Coturnix japonica: one gene and its partner. The protein of the gene in region 1 purifies or fractionates together with the protein of each later gene. This does not show direct contact. Links are inferred from orthologs where the notes say so. Each region holds a gene or a part of one and is shown on either strand. Other genes may lie near its edges.

Evidence for each region. The genes of interacting proteins can lie anywhere in the genome.
Region 2: the proteins of BAG5 (region 1) and DNAJB4 purify together in Homo sapiens (affinity purification with mass spectrometry; 4 studies listed by BioGRID and IntAct, with this or other methods). This does not show direct contact. The link is inferred for Coturnix japonica from reciprocal best matches to the Homo sapiens genes BAG5 and DNAJB4.

Annotation. Positions count from the first base shown.
Region 1 is NC_029520.1:45,843,522-45,849,292, forward strand, and holds the start of BAG5 (BAG family molecular chaperone regulator 5), read right to left. Parts: upstream 3,328-5,771; 5' UTR 3,193-3,327; intron 2,973-3,192; 5' UTR 2,945-2,972; coding exon 1,592-2,944; 3' UTR 1-1,591. Other genes in the region: cytochrome c oxidase assembly factor 8, read left to right, coding at 3,346-3,684, 5,007-5,070. UniProt on the Homo sapiens protein: Co-chaperone for HSP/HSP70 proteins. It functions as a nucleotide-exchange factor promoting the release of ADP from HSP70, thereby activating HSP70-mediated protein refolding.
Region 2 is NC_029523.1:16,608,267-16,613,423, reverse strand, and holds the end of DNAJB4 (dnaJ homolog subfamily B member 4), read left to right. Parts: intron 1-1,073; coding exon 1,074-1,307; 3' UTR 1,308-4,594; downstream 4,595-5,157. UniProt on the Homo sapiens protein: Probable chaperone. Stimulates ATP hydrolysis and the folding of unfolded proteins mediated by HSPA1A/B (in vitro).

The sequences.
Region 1 (5,771 bases):
AGGACGCCATAGAGCAATTCTCACCTATTGCATTACGTTCATTTGAGATACAGTGCACTTATATATACACAATAAATCCAGTTTGCATCAAGCTGCCATAAACAGTTTCTATATCTACACATGATGGTGCAAGTTTGTGGTGTCCTAAAGGCACTTGTCTCTCACAGACAGCACTGTCTTATTTAATCAGTTTAAAATAGATCTAAAAATACTTTGTTTAAAGTTTAACATCCGAAATGGTTTTTACTCCATAAAGAGGCACAAATCATCACCTACATTGATTCATTAATTCAACATGAAAGAGCGAAGTGCAAAGTTTCTGTAATTAAATATATTTCTCTGTATTAATTCATTTTAATGCCATGCTCAAAATAAACCCCAAACAAAACAAAACTCAAAACCATGCTATAGTAGAAATGTGATGGGTGCTAGCAGCAACAAACGAAAAGGTAGTGCATAAAGTAGTACAATCGAGCTGATTTACAAAGCTCATTTATAATTAAGCAGGGAGTTACAAAGAGAGACGTATGCCAAAAGCCTCTTCCAAGACATGCCTAAAGCCACACCTGACCAGTATGAAAGATCTACGTGTATCACACAAACGTACATCATTAGGGATGCCTTTATACTACCTAACACTACAAAAATAAATCCAAAATCCTCATCCGCTTCAAAGTGACTTCTGCTCTAATCAAACAGGGGAAGGCGAGTCAAAACCAGATAGAACAGCAGAATTTAAAAAGACCCCTAAGTAGCATTAAAAAAAGTTCATTGCAGTTTTCAGGTTCTAATGGATGGCAGTGTGAAATCCTCAAAACCCAATTCATCTGGCCAGTAAATATCTACAGATTGTCCTCTTTGAGTCCCAGCTTCTTAAAGCAAAGAATATTTGAGAGTTTCCACCAGCAGAAAAGCTGTTCTTGCAAATGACAGTTCACAGGTGCCATACAAAAGTGGCTTCGCCTATGTGAATTTGAAGCTGGCATTGTACTTCTGCCGAGCAGGAAATCTAAAGAGATCTAAGCAAGCAGAAGGTGTGATGGATGGAATAAAACAAGCACAACCCAAAAGCCAGCAAGTTGGTTTTTTTTTGTTTGCATTTAATACTTTTCATCAAAGCAGCACATTAAGAGTATATCCAGACTGCTACGATGCTGCTGGATGGAGCCTTGTGCTTAAACACTAATTTTCACGCCCAGCTTTCTTGAAACAGCTCTGCAGTACTGCACCACAAGGAATTTTCGGCATCTTTGAAACATTTGCGTTCTCTGAATGTTACACCAGGTTATTAAAACACAGACAGATTAAGAAAAAGAAGCCGTTCAATCAACACTTAAGCTGCTCCTTCAGAGAATCTCATTCCATTGCTTATAGCAGTGACCAGAATTGCTGATGGTGTACTGACAGTTGCCATGGCAAGTGGGTGACTGCGTGGGATAGCACACATATAGCCAAGGTAACTTTGTATGCAACCTCCGTGATTTAAGCAAGCATAGAACACTACTTTCACTATGTGCTGCCAGTGTAGCTATCATCCTACATGAAGTGCCGCAGGAAAAAAAATGGTATTTTATGTCAGGCCACGTTTCCTTCAGTACTCCCATTCATCTGTTTTCATGTCCAGGTAGTAAAGGATATTCTGTGCAAGCTTTACTGCTTGCTTTCTGGCAGCCTTACATCGCTCGTCACCTTGTGGGTCGACGGCATCAAGTGCAAGAAGTTGCTTTGTAAGGAGTTCTTCCAATCGCATGTAGTTCTTATCTGTTCTATTTCCATCAAAAGAAATCACCTCCTGCTGAATCTGAGACAAGTTTCCAAGCACAGTCCAAACTGCTTGATGAGACTGATGTTCTGCAGCAGTCTGCTCTGCGTACATTTGCCTTTTTCCAAGTGCTTCCTTTAAATCAATGTATGTTATGAGAGTCTGTACTTCTATCACTGCTCTTCTCCTGGCTTCTCTAATACAAGGGTTTTTTCCCGGACTCACTTCATCTAACTGGGCAATTAATCCCTGCAGTTCTGCTTTGGATCCCAAATACAAATCAGAAGCATTCTCTGTTTTTAAAAGCAAAGAATTAACTTCCTTCATTTTCTTGCGTATTTCTTCTATTTTTAGAATGGACTGATTTTGGGCCAGATCATAAGCATGAGTAGTATTTGCTTCTTCATCCAAGTCCAGGTATTTCTGCAATTTATTGATCTCTTCCACTACTTCCTTTCTGTAATTCCTTATTTCCATGCGACCGCAGACATCCAAAGCATCCAAATCAGCGACGAGGCCTGTGAGGACGCAGGCTAAATGCCTGCAGGTATCATTACTACTCACTCCCATCAGAAGCGCAATAAGGGTTCCTCTGGCTTTGTTCACCTCACACATTACAGAGTTAATTTTGGAGACAGAAGGATGCGCATCATTAGAGAGTGGCAGGGAGAGCTGTCTCTTGGCGCAGCTCTCTATGATCTCCTGCACGGCGCACACTTTAGTCAGGGTGCGATATCTCGCTTTGCGCAAGGAAACCTTCCCTCCGGTCTTCACCTGGGTGAGCCGCAGCACGATGTCCTGGATGCCTTCTTCAAACTCCTCGTTGATGCTGTTGCCTCCTTGGTAGAAAGGCGTGATCTCACGCTCCACCAGCGCCTGTGCCTCCTTGAAGATGGCCTCGATCTCCAGCCTGCGCGGGTGGTTGGCGTTCTGCTCCAGCTCCTTCAGCAGCCGCTCGGTCTCCTGGGCAGCGCGTTTCCTGGCCTGCTGGATGTCCCCTTTGCCCTCAGTGTCCACAGAGTCGATCTCAAACAGCTGTTTGGTGAGGGATCTCTCCAGCTTCTTGTAGTCCCGGTCCGTGGACAACCCGCTGAAGACTGCCACTTGCTGTTCGATCTCTCTCACTTCCTTCTGTATCTCGTGCAACCGTTTGATGGCAGGGTGTTGGTTCCCCATATCCATGCTCTGCTCTCATCCACCTTCAGTCGAACTGCGATGCAGAGCGAAGCGAACACATCGGTTACCCGTGTTTACAACTTTATATTACGGTCTCACCGACCCCTATCAGCGGGCACGCAGCCGCCCCTCCTTCAGCCGGGGTTGAACCCCCCAGCACGGCGCTCCCCTCCCCGCTCACAGCCGCTCCTTCCCACCGCTCCGGAGCCGAAAGCGACGCGTTCCCCGCACTCCCCCCCTCCTTCCCGGCTCACCCTGCAGCCGCCCCCGGGCTGAGGCACGGCGGCCCGGCTCGGCGCTGCGCCACGGCCGAGCGGTAGCGAAGGGCTCGGAGCCCTGAGCCCGGCCCCGCCCCGCAGCGCCGCCCTCGGCTGCGACATCGCCGTAAAGCGCGGCCGGCGGCGGGGATGGCGGCTGTAGGGGTTGTGCGGGCCGTGAGGGCGGGCGGCTGCCGCTATGGATGCCGCTATGGATGCTGCTATGGATGCTTCTCCTCTACTGTGTCCTCCGGCGGCGGGGAGCGGCCGATCGTCCCGCTTGTAACACAGAGGCCGCGGTTCTGTCCCCCCGCCGGCTCCCGCAGGGACTGGATCGGGCCCCCAGACAAGCGCTCTAACCTCCGCCCCGTCATCTTTTACGTGTCGCCTCACGAGACCCCGCTGGAACGGCGGCTGCGGGAGCTGCGGGAGGAGACACAGGAGTGGAACCAGCGCTTCTGGGCCCGGCAGAACACCGCCTTCAGGACGGTCAGTCCGGAACCGCTGGGGGGCGGCATCGGGCCGGGAGGAATGGGGGGGTTTGGCTGCTGGAAGCGGTGCTGCCGCAGGGAAAAAGCAAGGAAAGCTCTGCTGTAGAAGCACCTGATGGAGCTGTGTCTCTGTTCGTTGTAGGGTGGTTGGAGAAAATGGCATTTGGGGTCCATTCTAACTCAGATGGTTCTTTGATGTGCCCTGCTGCACTGGCAGTTGAACCTTTTATCAAGGCTGAAAGCCTGTGATGCTGTGTGTGATTCTGAAAGCAAGGACACGTGCTTTCTTTTGCGATTGCACCTTAAGGTCTGGAGCACTTCTATGAAGGAAAGCTGAAAGAATTGGGCTTGTTTAGGTAGGAGAAGGGTCTGGGGAGACCTCATTGCAGCCTCCCAGTACTTGAAGAGAGGTTATAAACAGGAGTAGGAGTGACTTCTTACACAACCTCGTAGCTTGTCCTATCACTATTGGGTGCCCCATCCCTGGAGGTGTTCAGGGCTGAGTTGGATGGGGCCCTGGGCAGCCTGGTCTGGTGAGGGGCAGTCAGCCCATAGCAGTGGGGTTGGAGCTCGCTGACCTTCCAACCGAAGCTCTTCTATGACCCTATAGGTTAGGAGGAGTGGGAGTGATTCAGTAATTCACTGTTATTTCTGAGCTTTGATCACCATATCCTCCCTGACTTCTGTAGAACTGAGTTTGAGAACTCGACGAAAAGGTAATTGTTCTGTACACATCCAAATAATGACAGATTTGAAGGCCACGTGTTTATCTGAATGCAGAAATGCTCAGTTATGTGGTATGTGTTGTCTTCATTGTTAGTTTGTTTGTTTGTTGTTTGTTTGGGCCTCACTGCTGTCTGAGCAGAGAATTTCTTTCTAACATCTAACCCAAATCTTCCCTCTTTCAGTTTAAAGCTGTTCCTCCTTGTCTTATCACTATCAAATTATGCAAAGAAAAGTCTGTCTCCTTCCCAATTACAAGCTCCTTTCAAGTACTGGAAGGCTGTGGTGAGGTCTTCCTGGAGCCTTCTCTTCTCAGCCTAAACAAACCCAACTCCTGTAGTCTTCCTTCATAGGAGAGGTGCTCCAGCCCTTTGGTTGTCCTCATGGCCATCTTCTGGATCTAAGCAACAGAGCTTTATCGGTTTAACACTAAGTCACTGTGCTTGGGTAAATGTTTTGTTGATGTTTCCAATATTAATGAGTGTTGTTTGTTATTTCAGAGGGTATTAGGCACTGAGCTGTTACATGATTTAAAAACAGTGGTTTACTTCAAGGACCGAATGCCTCAAATTCTAATGTGGAAAAACCATCTTTTAGGAAAAAGAAGAATTTATCTACTCAAGGCTGAAAGCCAAGGGTCTGGAAACGAGAGATGAAACAGGTTAGTGAGATCTTTGTACAATTCAAGATACGTTATGAATTCTGTTTAACTTCAGATTTTGCTAGTTATGTGCTGTGTGTTCTGTCACAAGTGATTGTTCAGAGCATGCACGTGAAAAGTGAGATGTTTTGTTGCAGTGTTTGTCCCCTAATTCCTCCCTGCCCAGCTGGAGGGTATGTGATGAAATCCCGTTCAAGTGATTTAATCATTCTGCAGCCTAAGGAGGAACAGGCTTTCTTCTCTCATGCTTCTTAACCCAGTGAACTAGCTGAGCTGAACATACTAGAGCACTTGCCTTAAGCGGATGCTGTGGTTGGGCAAAAAAATGCATGCTCTTCCATCAGGTCCATGTTAAATTAATACAGCATTTTCTATGAGGTAAGAGGTAAGACAACCCCTGAAGAATAATTATGGTTTGGATTGGACTGGACCTCAAAGATCACTTCATTCCAGCCCCTTGCTGCAGGTAGGGCTGTTGACCAATAAGTCAGATGCTTGATCAGGCTGCCCAGGGCTCCATCCAGCCTGGCCTTTATGAGCTCCAGGGATGGGGCACCCACAGCTTCTCTGGGCAAAGAGACAACAGCTGTTCTCTGACCGTCTTTGAGCACAGTTGCTGTAAAATACGTGCCTGAGAAATGTGTTATGTGAAATAGAAAAAAGGATGCTTTCGTAATACAGAGATTGGCCATTGTAGTACA
Region 2 (5,157 bases), on another chromosome or scaffold:
AAGTAGGTAGAGATTGATTTCATGAGGATAAATTATTGAGAACAGGTGTTATAGGAGCTATATATAACAACAAAAATGCTATAGCTTTTTTAAATTCTGTTCCAAGAACAAAACACACTGGCTTTCAAAAGGAAAGAATCGCACAACCAAGTAGAGTTCTTCAGAATCTGAAGCTGTGCAATGTTCATAATTTAAGAATTTAATATAGCTGAGTATGTTTTATATTTTCTTTCAATTAGTATTAGGTGGAAGGAGCAAGTTTTTACTTGCATTTTGAGCTCTTTGTGCATATCATGAGCTCCCTTCTTAAAGGATTCCTATCTGAAAATTCATTTGGTAAAGGAGGACGATGATGTGGGTAGTACGATGATGTGGGTAGTACAGTTCCTTCATGGATAGAAGCCTATGTAGATTTATTGCATTGTGATGTAGTAGTGAACATGCATCAGTATAGACCAAGCTTATAGGATGAAGTGAAGCTGGAAGAGTCTTTATCAGAAGTCTTAATAATGAAAACACACCATTGGGTAAAGCAGGAGAAAACCTAATCTTCCTGATGTTTTCATTTTGGTACTCCAAAAATAGTGTTTGATTTTCTTTGACCATCACAAATACTCTCCTAAGACAACTGTCAAATTTGATTGCCTCTACTTAAAGACATTTAAAATGTTGTGTTATTTGATGTAACGTAAGTTGATGGAAGTATTAGAGAAAATCCCTGTGCACTGTGATCAAAAAATTGAACAAGATTCTAAATTCCCAGTAGAAATGTTACAGTATATAGGGATTTGTTATTGGAGAGTTGTGAGTTGTATGTTTGCTCTGTGCTTAATTACCATATTACTTGATAAAGTCGTGGAAAGATATATAAACTCACTCACTCTCTTCAGTGGGTATTGCATAAGATTATTTGAATTTTGACAAGATATACTGGGCTTACTAATATTACATCTTTGCACTTTACAGTGGAAGTATTTTGTTTACAATGCTAGTCTTTTCTAAATAAAATTCAATTGTAGGTACAAGCAATGTTCTGACCAACCCATTTTTCTTATGATATAATCTTTCTCTAGGCATTGTGTGGCAGCTCTATCAATGTGCCAACAATAGAAGGAAGAACCATACCCATGACAGTAAATGAAGTTGTAAAGCCTGGGATGAGAAGAAGAATTATAGGATACGGTTTGCCATTTCCCAAAAATCCTGACCAACGTGGAGACTTAATTATAGAGTTTGAAGTAATTTTTCCAGATAACATTTCTCCAGCATCAAAAGAAGTACTTAGGCGGAATCTTCCAGTTTCATAAAACGAGGACTATGTCAACTGTTTAAGCAGGACACTGGAAATGCAGAAGACTGGCAAGTCTGTGCTTTAAAAGTGCAATGTGTAACAACTAGTGGAATATTTGTTGTTTTTTTTTGTTTTGTTTGTGGGTTGGGTGGGGGGAAATACTGTAATGCTGCATGAGAAGAGTTAAGTACAAGTCATACAGATGACTTCTGCAGTATAATTTACAGGGAAAACCACTCATATTTTATATTAGATCTTCCTAATCAGAAAAGCTTACTCAGTATTTTGCTTAATATGAAGTGTAGTCAGTTTTTACAAAGCCAATGCATATTTCTGATAAAGTACTCAAGCCACTAAGTACTTTATTCCTTATTTCCCTACTCTATCTGTAACAGAAATGGTTTATATAGAAATTGGATGTGGTAGTAGAAATATACACGTGCAAATATTCTAAATTACAAAACAGTAAAGATACTATTTGGCTTTTTGCTTTCCACTGCACGAAGCATAGACTGGGAGAATTGGCTTGGTCTCCTAAATTGCCCCCCACTGAAATGAAAGTATTTTCTTTATTTCATCAGAATGCGAGGGATCTGCATTACAAGTCTAGGAAAGGACATGTAGCTTGAGGAGAAAGTAGACATTTGTTGAGTAGTTCCTCATGCTTCAGACAGTACAGCAAGAAAGGATTGTACATGTACAGCAAGTGTGGGCCCCGGTTGTTAAATGGGGTAGGGAAACTGGGTGGCAAGTAATGTGGAGAAGGCTGAGGTGCTCAGTGCCTTCTTTGCCTCAGTCTTTACCAGTAACACAGTCTTGACCAGGAGTCCCAGCCTCCTGAAACCAGAAGGAAATCCTGAAACAAGGAAGGGGTAACCTCAGTGGTGGTGAACCAACACAGAGGTGCATTTAAACTAGATGTACAAAAGTCCATGACACCTGGCAGGTTGCATGCAGAAGCGCTGAGGAAGCTAATGCCATTGCAAGGCCTCTCAATTATCTTTTGATTTGAGAATGGTTTCTATAGACTGGTAAGAAGCAAATATCACTCCTGTCTTCAAGAAAAGCTAGAGAGAAGATATGAAGAACTACAAGCCAGTCAGCCTTAATGCAGTCCCTGGGAAGATCAGAAAGAATATCTTCCAAAAAAGCATAATCAAGCACATGGAAGACAGTAATGTGATTTAAGGTCAGCATAGATTTACAAAATGGAAATCATGCAAAATGGAATCATGACTTGATTTCACTCTACAGTGAGGTGATTAGCTTGGTGGATAATGGGAAAACAGTCTGTGTTCTTTACCTTGACTTTAGTAGGCAAATTGGAAAAGTACAGGATAGATAGGTGAACAGTGAGATGAATTAAAAAGAGACTGAATGAGTGGGCACAGGGGTTTTGTTATCAGGGTCACAAAGTCTACTTGGAGGTAAGTCACTAGTGGTGTATGCAGACACAGTAATATTCAACATCTTTGTTAAAGACCTGGGGAATGGAATGGAATGCACATTCAGCAAGTTTGCATGTCATGCAGGAATGTGAGGAGTGGCTGATGACACCGTGTTGATTGTGCTGGTCTTAAGAGGGGCTTTGGTGGCCCAAAACAAACAAACAAACAAACAAAAAAATCATACAGAATGAAAAAACAGAGTTCAATGGGCAATGGGTAAAAATCTTGCACCCCGAAGTATTACCCAGGCACCAGTACAGTCTTGGGCTCACTGTCTGGAAGGCAGTTTTGTTGAGAAAGGACTTTGAGTTTCTGGCAGACAACAAACTGACCATGAACTAGCAATGTGTCCTTGCAGCAAAACAGACTAATGGTTTCCTGGGTTGCACTGGGAAGTTTTGTGAGCAGATTGAGGAAGGTGATCCTTTTTCCCTGTTCCTCATGGGTGAGGCTGCATCTGGCATACTGTGTCCTGTTGTGGTCACCCCAGTAGAAGGAAGACAGTGGCTTGATGGAACAAGTCTGTGAAGGACAGAGAACTGGAACTCTTCAGTCTGGAATGCAGAAAGCTCAGAGGAATCTGATGAATGTGTACAAGTACTTGGAAGGAGGGAATGGAAAGAAGGGAGCCAGACTCTTCTTAATAACACCCAATGTCAGGACAAAAAGGACAAAAGGCATGGAGACAACGTAATACACTTTTTTCTTTTAATACTGTGGTCTCCATCCCTGGAGATCCTCAATACTGAACTGGTCACAGCCTGGTCTAGTGACCATACTTGAGGAGATTTGGGTGATCACCAGAGGTTCCTTCCAACCTGAATGATTGTGTACACTCACTTAAGAGCCTCTTTCAATAGACAGTATTAAGGACTGTGTTCTGCAAATTAGGCTTAGCCCAAAAATGGGTGGTGCTGATGTGACAGCTTGAATCCATAGGAAATAGTTGTGTTTTGTTTTTTGTTTTTTTTTTTTTGTGGAAAGATGTATAAAGAACACTGTAGAATTGCATAGTAGAGCAGATATTTAAAGATCATGCTGATCTCAAGTTCAGACTTGGAAAATAATGCAAATTTTTACATTGAAGAAGGAGAATCCCAGGTCCTATCTAAGGAGAAGTCTGCTGAGGACATGATAGAATAGGAATTGCCCACAAACTTCTACGTGCTTGCATCGAGTCTTTTCTGAACACAAATATGACTTACTTATCTTTAGAGTTAAAAGGTGAATAGGGAAAAGGAAAGCCCTCTGTAATAGTCTAGTTTTGTAATATTGTAATAGGGCTGGTTCCCTGGTGAAAGAAATGCCTTGCAGATTTGTTCTTGTTACTTGAGTTTTAAAATATAATAGAGTGCTTTAGCAGCAGTTTCAAAGAATGCTTTTCTTCGTAAGAAGAAAATATATAGGATTTGCTGTTAGCCTTTTGACAGTGGAAACTCGGTAGTTACCTGCTTTGTTAGGTAGCTTAAGAAATAGCAGTATTAACTTCATATAAACGCTTTTCTGTGGGAAAGTAAATAATATGGAAGTTGGGATTCAAGTTACGATAGCTTTTTAATGAGCACAAAAAATTCCATTTTTGTTACTCAAAGAAATAAAACTTCTGGGAGATACTGTTCAAATAATTTTTCAACTGCTGATCTCTTTGTACATTGTCAGTTGTAGTCCTACAACTGCAGTAGATCTACAAGGAACAAAACAATTGCTGGAGCAGTATCACAAAGGGCAAACTTAGCTGCTTAATGTTTATGTGTATTGTTAACACTATATATTGTTTGTTTAAAGAATTCCCAATATGTTCTGTATTGCATTTCTTATGTGGTTTTTAAGTAAAAAGTGTAAAGTTGTTTTTTCATTTTCTCTCATCTTTTGTTATGATGGCAGATGCTGAAATCTATATAACTGAAGAAGTGTATCATTCTAAAATATATGTATGTTACTTTAAAAGTTAATGGCATTGAAATTTTGTAATCCAGGATCTTGTAACAATAGTCTAACCTGCAAAAAAAAGAAAGAAAAAAGAAAAAAAAAATCAGTTGCAGCACATTATCTCTTGTAACTATTTTCAGGTAAGAAGAATAGCGTTCAATTCAGCATTTTGCAGTATCCTGTGCATTTAGAGGCGTATGTACAGCAAACGTCTTTTTTTTTTCTTCCTAATCATTTTCATGCTCAAGATTCAGAAGAACCATAGAACTGGTATGAATTATTAATGGAGAGATAACAAAGCATACATTTCAAAAAATAGCACATGAAATTACTGCAAAAGAGAGAGGACATCAGTCCAGAATTTGCAAGAAAGAAGCACACTTTCAATAGTGAAATATTAAAAGCTATGTTTTAAAAACCACTTGTTTAAGTGAAGGCTGCGTGGGAGACTCAGTCACCTGCTATATCTATTAAAATACATGGAAATAC